Neurospora crassa OR74A: one gene and its partners. The protein of the gene in region 3 purifies or fractionates together with the protein of the main gene of each other region. This does not show direct contact. Links are inferred from orthologs where the notes say so. Each region holds a gene or a part of one and is shown on either strand. Other genes may lie near its edges.

Evidence for each region.
Region 1: the proteins of NCU06149 (region 3) and NCU01601 purify together in Saccharomyces cerevisiae (affinity purification with mass spectrometry; 6 studies listed by BioGRID, with this or other methods). This does not show direct contact. The link is inferred for Neurospora crassa OR74A from reciprocal best matches to the Saccharomyces cerevisiae genes DHH1 and LSM1.
Region 2: the proteins of NCU06149 (region 3) and NCU02533 purify together in Saccharomyces cerevisiae (affinity purification with mass spectrometry; 3 studies listed by BioGRID). This does not show direct contact. The link is inferred for Neurospora crassa OR74A from reciprocal best matches to the Saccharomyces cerevisiae genes DHH1 and RPC40.

The regions. Positions count from the first base shown.
Region 1 is NC_026502.1:2,980,860-2,984,288, forward strand, and holds NCU01601 (hypothetical protein), read right to left. Parts: upstream 1,959-3,429; 5' UTR 1,695-1,958; coding exon 1,517-1,694; intron 1,443-1,516; coding exon 1,374-1,442; intron 1,249-1,373; coding exon 929-1,248; 3' UTR 625-928; downstream 1-624. Other genes in the region: NCU01599 (hypothetical protein), read left to right, coding at 2,828-3,250, 3,322-3,429. UniProt on the Saccharomyces cerevisiae protein: Component of the cytoplasmic LSM1-LSM7 complex which is involved in mRNA degradation by activating the decapping step.
Region 2 is NC_026501.1:2,645,753-2,649,254, forward strand, and holds NCU02533 (DNA-directed RNA polymerase I and III polypeptide), read right to left. Parts: upstream 2,285-3,502; 5' UTR 2,176-2,284; coding exon 2,098-2,175; intron 2,007-2,097; coding exon 948-2,006; 3' UTR 588-947; downstream 1-587. Other genes in the region: NCU02532 (NEDD8-activating enzyme E1 catalytic subunit), read left to right, coding at 1-376; nuo49 (NADH:ubiquinone oxidoreductase 49kD subunit), read left to right, coding at 3,407-3,502. UniProt on the Saccharomyces cerevisiae protein: DNA-dependent RNA polymerases catalyze the transcription of DNA into RNA using the four ribonucleoside triphosphates as substrates.
Region 3 is NC_026507.1:1,628,956-1,633,272, reverse strand, and holds the start of NCU06149 (ATP-dependent RNA helicase dhh-1), read right to left. Parts: upstream 2,859-4,317; 5' UTR 2,150-2,858; coding exon 2,106-2,149; intron 2,052-2,105; coding exon 386-2,051; 3' UTR 1-385. UniProt on the Saccharomyces cerevisiae protein: ATP-dependent RNA helicase involved in mRNA turnover, and more specifically in mRNA decapping by activating the decapping enzyme DCP1.

The DNA of each region.
Region 1 (3,429 bases), on a different chromosome or scaffold from region 3:
TGCCTAGGACAATGACCGTGAGATAGCCCAAGTGAGCTTGCACCCGGAATTGTGGCATCTTACCCTCCTTCTTCTTTCTTGCGTTTGCAGACCTTCAAGCCCTACGCCACGCCCTCGACATGGGGCTGGTACAACTTCAGTTTACCCACCACGCCCAACCATACATTCATGGACGACTTCACAGATTTATAGTGGTGGACTTACGAAAGACCTAGTGATGGCCTACAGCCAGCCCAACCCAGCCCACAACGACATCTCCCAGCGGCTTATACAGAACCCTCAGTGGATCAACGTGAGGTACATTGGATTTCCCTATTCCGACCGAAACAAGTTCAACCCCCCCTTTGTTGGCATGTGGAACGCAACCCCCGCAGCAGGTGGTTGAGTACTTGCTGCATATCATCTTTCAGTTTGATGATGCTGGGTAATCGGTTGGTTGGTCATGAGTGCCAACGCCTCATTTCCCGAGCTCGGCGTAGTTATCGATGATGGCGGGTGGGTGGGAGGATGTTGAAGTCGATGGGTTTGTGCCGGCTATGTGACTAGTCCTAGGAAAGAATGTTAGTCGTGGATATCTCTCTGGGCTATCCTTTCCCAACATGATCATAGTCAGTAGTGGCCAGGTTCGATTCGAGGCAATCCATCGAATTGCTAATTTTCTAACGGTAAAATACACTTGGTGTCTTCTTGGGCCGACCTTGGTGTAAGGCTTCATGCGGTCTTCCATTCGTATGAAGTCGCAGCTGAGTGGATAGCATTTCACAATATTCTGCTTCCAATCGCTCATGCCATTCCCTCCTTCGACACTCCCTTTCCACTTCAGGGGTATGTAGGTATAAATCATAACAAGTTAAAGTTTTGGTCGTCTCTCCTCCCGTCTCTTTCTTTCCGTCCCATTTGTAAAATTTGAGGGTGATTCATATATCATTCACAGAAGCGCCTCGCCTACGTTCTCCCCTTCGAAGCCAATGGTGGAAAGCTTCTTGATCTTGCGCTTCTCCTTGGCCTTCTCCTCGGCCTTTTTCTGCTTGGCTAGTGTCTGCACCAGTTCGAGGTCGGCAGGGTCGTAGCCCGGGGGCGGGTCGTCGTCGCGGTCAAGGTCGATCTCGCCCATGAGGAGAACGTTCTCGCCGCGAACAACGAAGAGGCCCCGGTCGACGTCGGCGTAGAGCCCCCTGGTCTGGGTGGGTGACTGCGTGCCTGGAGGCACGAATATCCTCTCCTTTGTCTGTTGTAGTACTAGGTTGGCTAGTATGGTGGGAAAAAAGTGGATTCGCGTTAACACAGCTACCTCTTCATACTCGTGCTCGTTCGTGCGTGCGTGTATAGGTGGTCATGTGTTGTAAGAGAGAGGTAGGTTCATGGAGGCATACCAAACTGATCCCAACTGCGGAGGATGCCCGTGAGCTTTCGTCCGTCGCGCAATGCTACCATTAGCTTCTCTGTTGGTACCCCGCCGCTCGTGTCAGCCTAGTTCCTCCCGTCCAAAAGATATGTCCACAATATTGCTTCTTACTATCGGTCAGGTCGAGGAGTTGGGCAGCTGTGGTGAACATTTGCGCGGGCAACTGCTGGGGCTGGGGAGGACGGCCGCCTCCTAGGAGTCCCGGCGGGGGCATGCCGGGTCCAGGCTGGCCGGGGCCCTGAGGGAAGGGCGGCGGTGGGGGTTGATCGTTTATCGAGAGGTGTTCCATGGTTGTGTGCTGAAGATGGCCTATGTCTTCTAGTCCATCTGTAAAGTTTCGGGGGGTGTCTTCAAGGTTGTTGAATGGGAAGCGGGATGCAATGATGCGATGGGACAGCTGCCCGCCCTGACGTTGCCTGCCCGCACATACTACTACCTACCTACTGCGTACATACCTACCTTAGTACATAGCTGCTGCCCTGGGCTGCCCTGGGCTTGCTCCGCTGTTTGTGCAGTTCACCCCACTTTCACGGTGAGAGGCAGCGACGAGAAGTGTGTTCCTTGAAGGACAGCCCGAGTCGCACAGATCTTTTTACCACTCTACTTACACGGCTCCTGCCATAAGCTTTTAGTGGATGATTCCAGCTTCCTTCCGGCAGGCAATTTGCGTATATGTACATGATACAAGTCAGCCACATCGCAGGTTGAGCCACAAGACGGAGCGAATCTCAGCTTTATCCACTTCAGCAATCAGCTCGGCTCATACAAACCTATCGCTGCTTCCTGCGGCAGACTGCTCTCGCTTAGGTACAGCGCCTGTGCGGTGGAGCTTCCATGATCACCGGACTGTATGTCTAGTCAGTAAACACTGCCAGGGCAAGGTGAAACCAAGCGCTGTGCAGCAACCTACAGTATTATTCAACCCGGTGGCCGGACAATGAGCCGACGGGACCTGCACTGACCTCCCTGTGCTGGTTTGCCTGTACCTACCTAGGTAGTGCCGCACTGCATTCTCCGGTCCTTCTGCTTCGGCTCAACCTGCTGTCAACCCCATTTCATTCTGCCACTCCATATTTCTCCATCTGCACCATACGTACCCTCGCTGTCGACAATTATACACAAAAGATCCCATGAGGACTATGTCCAAACCCGCTTCGACCACCAGAAGCCGTTCCTTTTCTCTCGCCCTTGCGCTGTAACCATTCTGCGCGCCCGTCCATCGGCGGACGAGGGCAGCTCTCTTCCCGTCGTCCAGTCGACTTTGACTTACTCGTCCTCTAGCCTCAAATCTCTGCACTGGGGCTCTCTTTTTTCCGCCCACCAGCCTCGCCTTGAGGTTTGCCTCGCCTGGTCTTACCTGGTCCGGATACAATAAAAAAGCAGGCAACCAAGAAACATATTTACGAGGACCCCCCTTTCGCCATGGCTTCTACCGACGTTACCATGGCCGACGCACCTTCCGGGCGGCCTGATCGCCGCTCCAACGCTTCTCCTCCTCCCGGTCAGTCACAGTCACAGTCTAAGAGAGACAAGCGACGCCAAATGCTTGCCGAACGCATTGCAACCCTTTCCGACAAATGGAGCAAGGACAGAGACCAGGCCTTTCGCGAACAACTACAAAAGATTCAGATTGACACCAGTCTGGTCATGCGAGTCGACCCCTATGTCGATCGACCTTTGGACAGCTTCGAAGAGGATCAGAGACGACTCAACCAGCTCAATGGCGCCGACTCCGACGGTGGTCCACGATCCCTCCTTGACATGGCTGGCCCCAAATTTGCCAAGTGGATGGAGAACGTACAGGATCTTGCAGAGCAACGCGATTATGCTCTCACCAAATTTAAAGTACGTCTCCCGATCATAACCGTTCAACGCTCCGCCAGTCAAAGTGCCAATGCTGACTCTTGGTTCCGCAGTTTGACTACGAGAAGAAGATCGCCGAATACCTCAATACGCATGCCTATAAGACGGAGCTTGCGAACAGAGAACACAAGGCGCTTGCCTCGACCCTCCGCGACCGACTG
Region 2 (3,502 bases), on a different chromosome or scaffold from region 3:
CGGCGAAGGCGAGCCTAATTATATGATGTATTCCGGCAACGACAGCATTTACACGTATACGTTTAAGCACGAGCAAAAGGAGGACTGCCCCGTGTGCGGCATGACGGCAAGGGTGCTCAAGGTCAACCCCAAGTGGACACTCGAAGAGCTCATAGAGTCGTTTGCTACCCTTCCTGAGGCGCAACTGAAGAAGCCGTCGGTGCGGGCTGAGGGCAAGACGCTGTACATGCAGTTGCCCCCGAACTTGGAGGAGCAGACGCGGCCAAACTTGGAGAAGACACTTGAGCAGCTTGGGCTGACGGAAGGTACTGAGCTCGCCGTTACTGATCCAGCGTTTGTAGGCGTGGTGTTCAACTTCAGCCTCAAGTTTGCATGATGGTCCCCAGACATGAACGTGTCATGATGGCCTGGCCTGGTTTGCCTGGACTTTGTTCATGCTATTTAGGGACTAGATTTGTAAATTACCTACGAGCGGGAGCGTTGCACAACAAGCAGCGGGGAATGACCCGCAAGATGGCTATAGCGATGAGTTAACTTCCTTTGCAATTAATTAGATGTGAATACAAGATATGATTAACAATGTGCTTCAACAATATGCTACGCAGTACGTAACCAAAAGACATCATGTCAAATGAGGGGTACTGTGTTTATGCAAGACAGTGTGGTTCATGACTCATGTGCACCGACATGTCTATGATAATTAACAAGCAGAAACCATTAAACTAAAGCTGGCCACCAATCCCTAGCCTCCATGACGCCGTTCCAATGTTCTTTTATATGGTTACAAGAGAGATGGGTATCCTCACGACCTAATCCGTGTGATTTTTCCTCTTTCCCTGTGTGATTCCACATCATGATCGCTCAAATTCTGTCTCAACCACCGTACATAGAAATAACCTCACCTCTTCTTCGTGCTATTTTGAATCCTCCTACCCCTGGTACAATGTTTACTGTACCATGTTCACCACCTGCTTCTCGAACCTCTTCGCCTTCTCCTTGAGGTGGGCAATCGATTCGAGGAAGATGGCGTCGCTTTCCCACTGCCCCGTGCTCTCCACCAGGTAAATGAAGTGATCCCTCCTTCGGCCCAGCTTGACCTTGTCCTTGAACTCGTCATGGCGCAAGCACTCTCTGCTGACGGTGTCACGCATGGCGTCCAGGACCACGGCCTTGAGCTCGCCCTCATGGCCCTCGTATCCGCTGCCCTTCTTCTTCGCCTCCTCCTTGGTGACCTTTTCCAGCCCGATGACGCCCTCGGGGAAGCACTTCTGGAATTTCTCGGCGTCGCGGCCTAGGATCGGCTCGAGAATGGTGATGGTCGGCATGAGGCGGTACGAGGCCGTGGCGACGGGGGAGAACTTGGCGTGATCGGACCCGACGCCCTTGTGCATGTGCATCGTCAGATCGATCTCCTGTCCCGGCCGCATCTTGGCGACGAGGATGTCAGGGTTCGTGGGCCGGATGGCGTTCTCGCCCGAGAAGTACTTGGCTTGCCGGCCCTTGGGCACGAACTTGATGTCCTTAGCGTAAACATGGGCGTTGTGGTAGAGCTCCTTGGGGTCCTTGCTGTCTGCCGGCGCGCTCTCGTTGTTCTCGCACTTGACCTTGAGCTCGAGCTCGACCGTGTTGTAGTCGCACGGGGTCTCGCCCTTCTTGTACCACTTGAGGAAGTTATGGAGGCCTTCCTTGCCGCCGGTGAACGGGATCAGGCCCAGGCGGTGGCCAAGAACTTCGTCCTGGATCACGGAGGTGTTGTTCCACATGAAAATGTCCTCAATGGCCAGCGTGGGGATGTCGGCAATCATGATACGGCGGAAGGCATTGGCGATAGAGGCGTCGACGCCAATGAGCGAGAATTGAGCCTCATAAGGGTCGTTCTGGTGGAACACTACGCGGACACTTTCGCGGAACTTTTCGATATCCCAGGAATGATCCTCGCCGGGGTAGAAGCCGGGAAAGTCGGTGGATGTGACATTGGTGACAGTTTCGGCGTTGATATGGACAGTCTGCAGAAGAAAAATGCCATCAGTTTCCGCGTTGCATGCGCTGCGCAGCCTCGACTGATGATGATGGGCGGCAAGCCAGTGATTGACGTACGTTACGCTTCTCAACCTCTTCTGGGCTCGGGACCTTTGTCCTGACGGGCACGGCGGTCTGCTTCTTTGAGGATCCCATTGCGACGATATGTGTAAATAATGCTCTAGGTTGGCGGGGTTACCCTCTCGCTTTCACACGCAGGTCGGCACGCCGGGCAAAATCTTGGGAAAGAGAGCTCTGCGCTGTGCGACGGGCGATGGAGCGGCAGAATTTTTCCCACGAACGGGAACTTTTTGACCGCCTTCGCGGGAATGCGGTTGATTGGTTGGCTGAGATCTTATCGTGCTGCAGGCAGTGGCGGAGAGGTTCAGGGACTGCCTGGCTCAACTTGATGCTCATGGGCCTCGGCGGAGACAATTGTGGACAGGACCGCAATGACTGGGACAAGGCCAACAGGGTACATGGCGGGCCATAACCTCTGTCAGGTTACCGTCGACTTCGACCATCGACGAAACCTGAGGCGAAGAGAGAACGCTAGATCTTCACTTGCAAAGGGCTGCGCAGGTATGATGGGAGATACTTCAACTACCTAGATATACTTGCATGTCGGGAGTATCAATTCCAAATCCACAATTTTGTAGCTTCGGCGAGGGAAAGACATCGGGGCTTCATATTCCATGTCCACATCGAGGTTTGTCGCGAGTAAGTGACATGTTGACTAACTCCACTCTTAACTCCAGCACATCTTGGAATCTCTGTGGTCATTGTTATAAGTGTGGACATGCTCTTCCATCCTCCTCTTCCTTTCTGCGAAAACCTCTCCCTAAAATGCCCAAATTCCGACTTACACTGCCTCGAGACTGCCTGGCGAAGGACCGAGGCTTCTACAACCAGCCAATCAGATGGCATATAGCGCGGCTGCCCTCCATGGGACCGCTTGGCGGCACGGCTGCCGGATAAACGCCTTGGCCGGCAACAGTCGAGACGGGAGCTTGCCCGCCGTGGGGGGAACGTTGTACCAGAAGAAGCTTGGTCTCTGACTGCTCAACTGATGGCCTTTGATTGGGTTGAAATTCACTGACCAACTGACGGCAACGATTTGAGGAGTTCGAAGCTGGGGCGTTGCTGCGGCCGTGGTCAGGGAAAGTCGACTGGACGTCAACTGAAGCATCTCCACCACCACCTTATTACTGCTATCACTAGAAATCGCAAGCTCACTGCGAGCCATTGAACCGCCGGAGAAGAGGCCACATCCAGCGGCGAACCTCCTCCCCTTTGTCCTCCGTCGCTGTCAATCCTGCGAATCTATCCATCTCCGTTCCCTGACCTTCTGAGCGACCCAAAGCAAGCGGCAGTCCCACAAACAACAATGGCGACGACGTTGTTCCGACTCGCTGGGCGCAATGCCAAGCGCCATTGTATGCGCCAGAGCACCACCATCGCTCACAACCTCAACTCGACTCGC
Region 3 (4,317 bases):
CATGCCGAAGCGTTGTAAGCCGTGAATGCGAACAGGATGAAGCTGGACCGTATCGAAAAATCCTTGAAATGGGGCAAACTCCAAAAGAGAATGTGTCGTAGTACAGTTCCGTGCATGTCGTTGAACTGTTTGCAGGGTCGGCAGAAAGAGTGTGATAGACGAGTCTGCCGTAGCGTAAACGCAAACCTGACAGGCCGAGGGACAACACTTGCCGTCATGGTAGCCCATTCACAGTTCGGGAGGAACAGAAAGAGATGGCCGAAAAAAAAGGACGACTAATATGTACAATTCAAAGACAAAACAACGTGGAAGCGATGCATGGTCGCACACCTCCTCACATTACCACATATCCCCCTCCTTCCAAAACTTGTTGGGAGAGTTTACCCTACTGGGCAGACAGTGGACCCTGAGGCTGGCCCTGACCTTGGGTACGAGGACCGCGCTGACCACCGTAGTTCTGGTTCTGACGGCCTCCCTGGCCCTGGAAACCACGTCCACGACCTCCGCGGCTGCTACCGGGCTGCCCGCGATTGTTCTGGTAGTTGGTGGGTCTGGGTTGGTTGTTGGAAGCACCTGTGCCATTTTGGCGACCGTTTTGCCCTTGCCAATCACCCTGGGCCTGGGGGATGGGTCTGTGAGGCTGTTGAGCTTGAGGATTGAAGCCAAGTTGTTGGTTGCCCTGTTGAGGCGGGAGCTGGTTTGACGGCTGTGTCTGTGTTGAGAAATGCTGTTGCTGTTGAGACTGTTGAGGCCTTTGCGATTGCTGCAATTGCTGTTGCGGCTGCTGGGCAATAGGCTTGAAGGTCGAGATGGGCCGGGGAATCGATTCAGGGTTCTCGTACACGTAGAGGCTCTTGTCAATGGTCTGAGGAATGGGCTGGATCTCTGTACCAAGATCGCGCTCAATGTTGTAAAGGTTGAATCTGTCATCCCAATTGATCAAGTTAATAGCAAGACCAAGGTGACCATAACGACCAGAACGACCAATACGGTGGAGGTACGTCTCGGCGTTCTTGGGGAAATCGAAGTTGATGACAACGTTCACTGCCTGAATGTCAATACCGCGGGTGAGGAGATCCGAGCAGACCAGGTTGCGGCAAACACCGTTGCGGAAGTCGTGGAAGACACGGTTTCTCGCCTGCTGAGCCATTTTGGCATGACTGTAGAAGCACGAGTATCCAAGCTCAGTGATCTTTTTGGCAAGCAGTTCGACGCGGTTGGTAGAGTTGCAGAAAATGATGGACTGGTTGATCTGCAGCTTGGAAAACAGAGTGTTGAGGCAGTGAACCTTTTGCTTCTCCTCAACAAAGGCATAGTATTGAGTGATACCGCGGAGCGTAAGCTCGTCCATGAGGTTGATCTCGTACGGGCTAGTCATGTTCTTGTCCGAGAAATCCTTGACCGAAAGAGGGAAAGTGGCGGAGAACAGCATGACCTGACGATCCTTGGGGTGGAACTGCAGGAGCTGCTCAATGACGGGGGTAAACTCTTGCGACAGGAGCTTATCAGCCTCGTCCATAATGAACATTGGGCACTCGCTGAGATCGGCCACCTGCTTGCCAGCTAGATCGAGGATACGACCTGGTGTTCCGACGACGATGTGTACGGGGTCCTGCAGACGCACAATGTCGTCCCGCAGGCCAGTTCCGCCGGTTGTCACCATGACGTTGATGCCGAGATGCTTGCCGAGCGTCTTGCAGACTTGGGATGTCTGCATGGCAAGCTCACGGGTGGGAACGAGAATAAGGCATTGGATCTTGGAGACCTTAGGGTTGATCTTGTTGAGGGCGGGAATGACGAAAGCGGCGGTCTTGCCGGTGCCGTTCTTTGCGCGTGCGAGGATGTCTCGGCCGGTGAGGGCAACGGGGATCGCTTCTTCCTGAATCGGGGACGGTTTCTCGAAGCCAGCCTCGAAAATGCCCATCAAGAGATCCCTGTCGTGTATGAAGTCTTCCCAATCCAGACCCCTCGTGTTTGTAACATCCTCGGTCTGTTGTCTTGTGTCCCTGGCAGGTAGGTTAAGTCCCTTTTTCCAGTCTTCCGGGCCTGAGCTATCAAAAACATGTCAGCTGGGTTTGGGACAGAAGGGAAGGCGGTCAACCTACCTCAGACTAGTAGCTTTCAACTGATCCGCTAGTTGGTCGGACATTTTGCCGGATGGTCGTTGTTCGGTTGTGGAACCCGTGGTCGAGGCTCAGATGTTGCAGAAAGGAGAGCGTAGAGCGCGATGGCTTCGTCTCCGGGTGTGTGTAGCGAAATGGACAAGTGGTTGACAAGGGGAGAGGAGCACTAGTTGTGGGTGGGAATCCCCTCTTTCTCTTTTGTTTTTCGGTCTGTTGACGGTGAGCAGAGCCAGACAGATGTAGCTTTGTAGGCGGAGGCGGAGGCCTGTCGCGAGCGGTCGTGGGGCAAAGATGAGACGGCGGTGGATGGGGATGGGGTCGCGAGGAGGCTCGTTGCGTGTGGGAGCACCAAGGACGTTCTCAGTCGTTTGATTTTGCCTGTATGCCTCGAAGTCAAGCGACGTCTTTTGTGGGAGAGGCTGCGAGGAATCCGATTCGGGGTCGACGGCTGGGACTTGATTGGCCTGTGAAAACTGAAGGGCGAATCAAAGCGACGTGTGCGATGCCGTTGGGAGAGTGGGACGAGATGGTGCTTTGCAGCGAGCTCAAAGTGTTTCTGTTCTGTTGTGATTGAAGTGTTGTCGTTGTTGTGGTGGTGGTGGTGGTCGTCGTCTGAAAGCGGGGCAGAAAGGCAGAGAGTTTGAGGGAAACTTCCGAAGCTTGGACGAGGCGAGGCGGTGCGGAAGTCGTGAATGATTCAGTGCTGTTTAGGACTGGGCGAGTGAGTGGACGAAGGAGCCGGAGCGTCCAGGTCCCAGGTCCAGTCTCCTCTCCTCGTCAAAACTGTTCACTCCACTGCCGAAAGGGTCTCGGATCACGTGTTCCCTTGATGTTCCCTGCCGAACCCTGCCTGCGCCTTCCAGTCCAGTTGTGTATCGCACAATCAGCAGCGTGTCCACCACGACGGGACCGAACGGGACCTCCATTTCCATACCTGCGTAGTGTAGTGTATCTCGTCTCATAATGGAAGGCGGCGGGGGGCGCCACTCATAGGCCACAAGTCGGCCGCGGCATCGCCTTCCAGTCCCACTTCAGGGGCAATTCGGTTTATACCTCTACTAGTGTACCTACACTATGACCGCTGCCTGTGCCTCCTCTCTGTTGGCCTGGGTAGTGTACACTGCATAGTAGTTCTGGTGGTGGCCCAGTGTACCTAGCGTACCTCTACATTGTATATATCGACGTCATCCGGCGCACTGGTGGGATATCGCGGGCGACATCCCGTCCATGGACGTCCTTCTGGGCTTTGTTACGTAGGTAGCCGAAATTGGACAAAGTAATGATCAAAGTTGACAAAAAGTTTGACAATTGGAAAACAGTTCGATATTTTCCAGCACGGTCAGATCCATGAATGTGTACATCATGCCCGTCTCTTCACTGCCGTCTTGCGTGCCCAGTGTCAAGTATGTACATAGGTACCTACAGAGAGGTACATTCGACTAAGTCTAGTAGTACCGCTTTTTTCAATTCGATTTGGATACCCCTTAGCTCCCCCTTTAGCGGGCTCGGCGGGCCACCTTACCCGATCTAGGTTTGTAAGCGAGCGCCCTACAGCTGACAGCCTCCTGCACACACCTTGTGCCAGGTGTAGCCACGTTCACATACCCACTCTGAGCGCCCAGAGGCTACAGTGGGCTTGCAGATGGCTTGCAGTTGGGCGCCAGCTTTACTGTAAAAAGGCTAGCCCCCCCTTAAGGGTACAGTCCCGGACCAAAAATAAAACACGTTTCTTTTTTACCCGCAAAAAGGGCCAAAACTCAACTCTATCACTCCCTAGTTTTCATGCCAACTACCTTTCAAAAGCAGATGCACTAAAGGAGGACAGAGTTAAATAGTTATACTCCCCAGATATATAAATGAAATTGACTTCATTGGTTTAGTAGTGTAATCACAATTGTTCAAATGAGAGTTTGAAAAGGATTTTTGGTTATAGTGCATTTAGAGTGCATTATAGTGGATAGAATCTGAGATACTTTTCGGAAAGTGACTTTAGTACTTACGCTTTTGCCCCCCGTTCGAGTGTATCTTTTCGGACAACTTGCATTAGTATCTCCTCTTAAAGTTATCTCTATTTAGAACGTGGAGTGAGTTTTGCAATAAACCACGTTGAGAAATTAAGAGTAGAAGAAGTTGAGTTTTGGCCCTTTTTGCGGGTAAAAAAGAAACGTTCGTTTTTTTTGGCGCCCCACTGTAC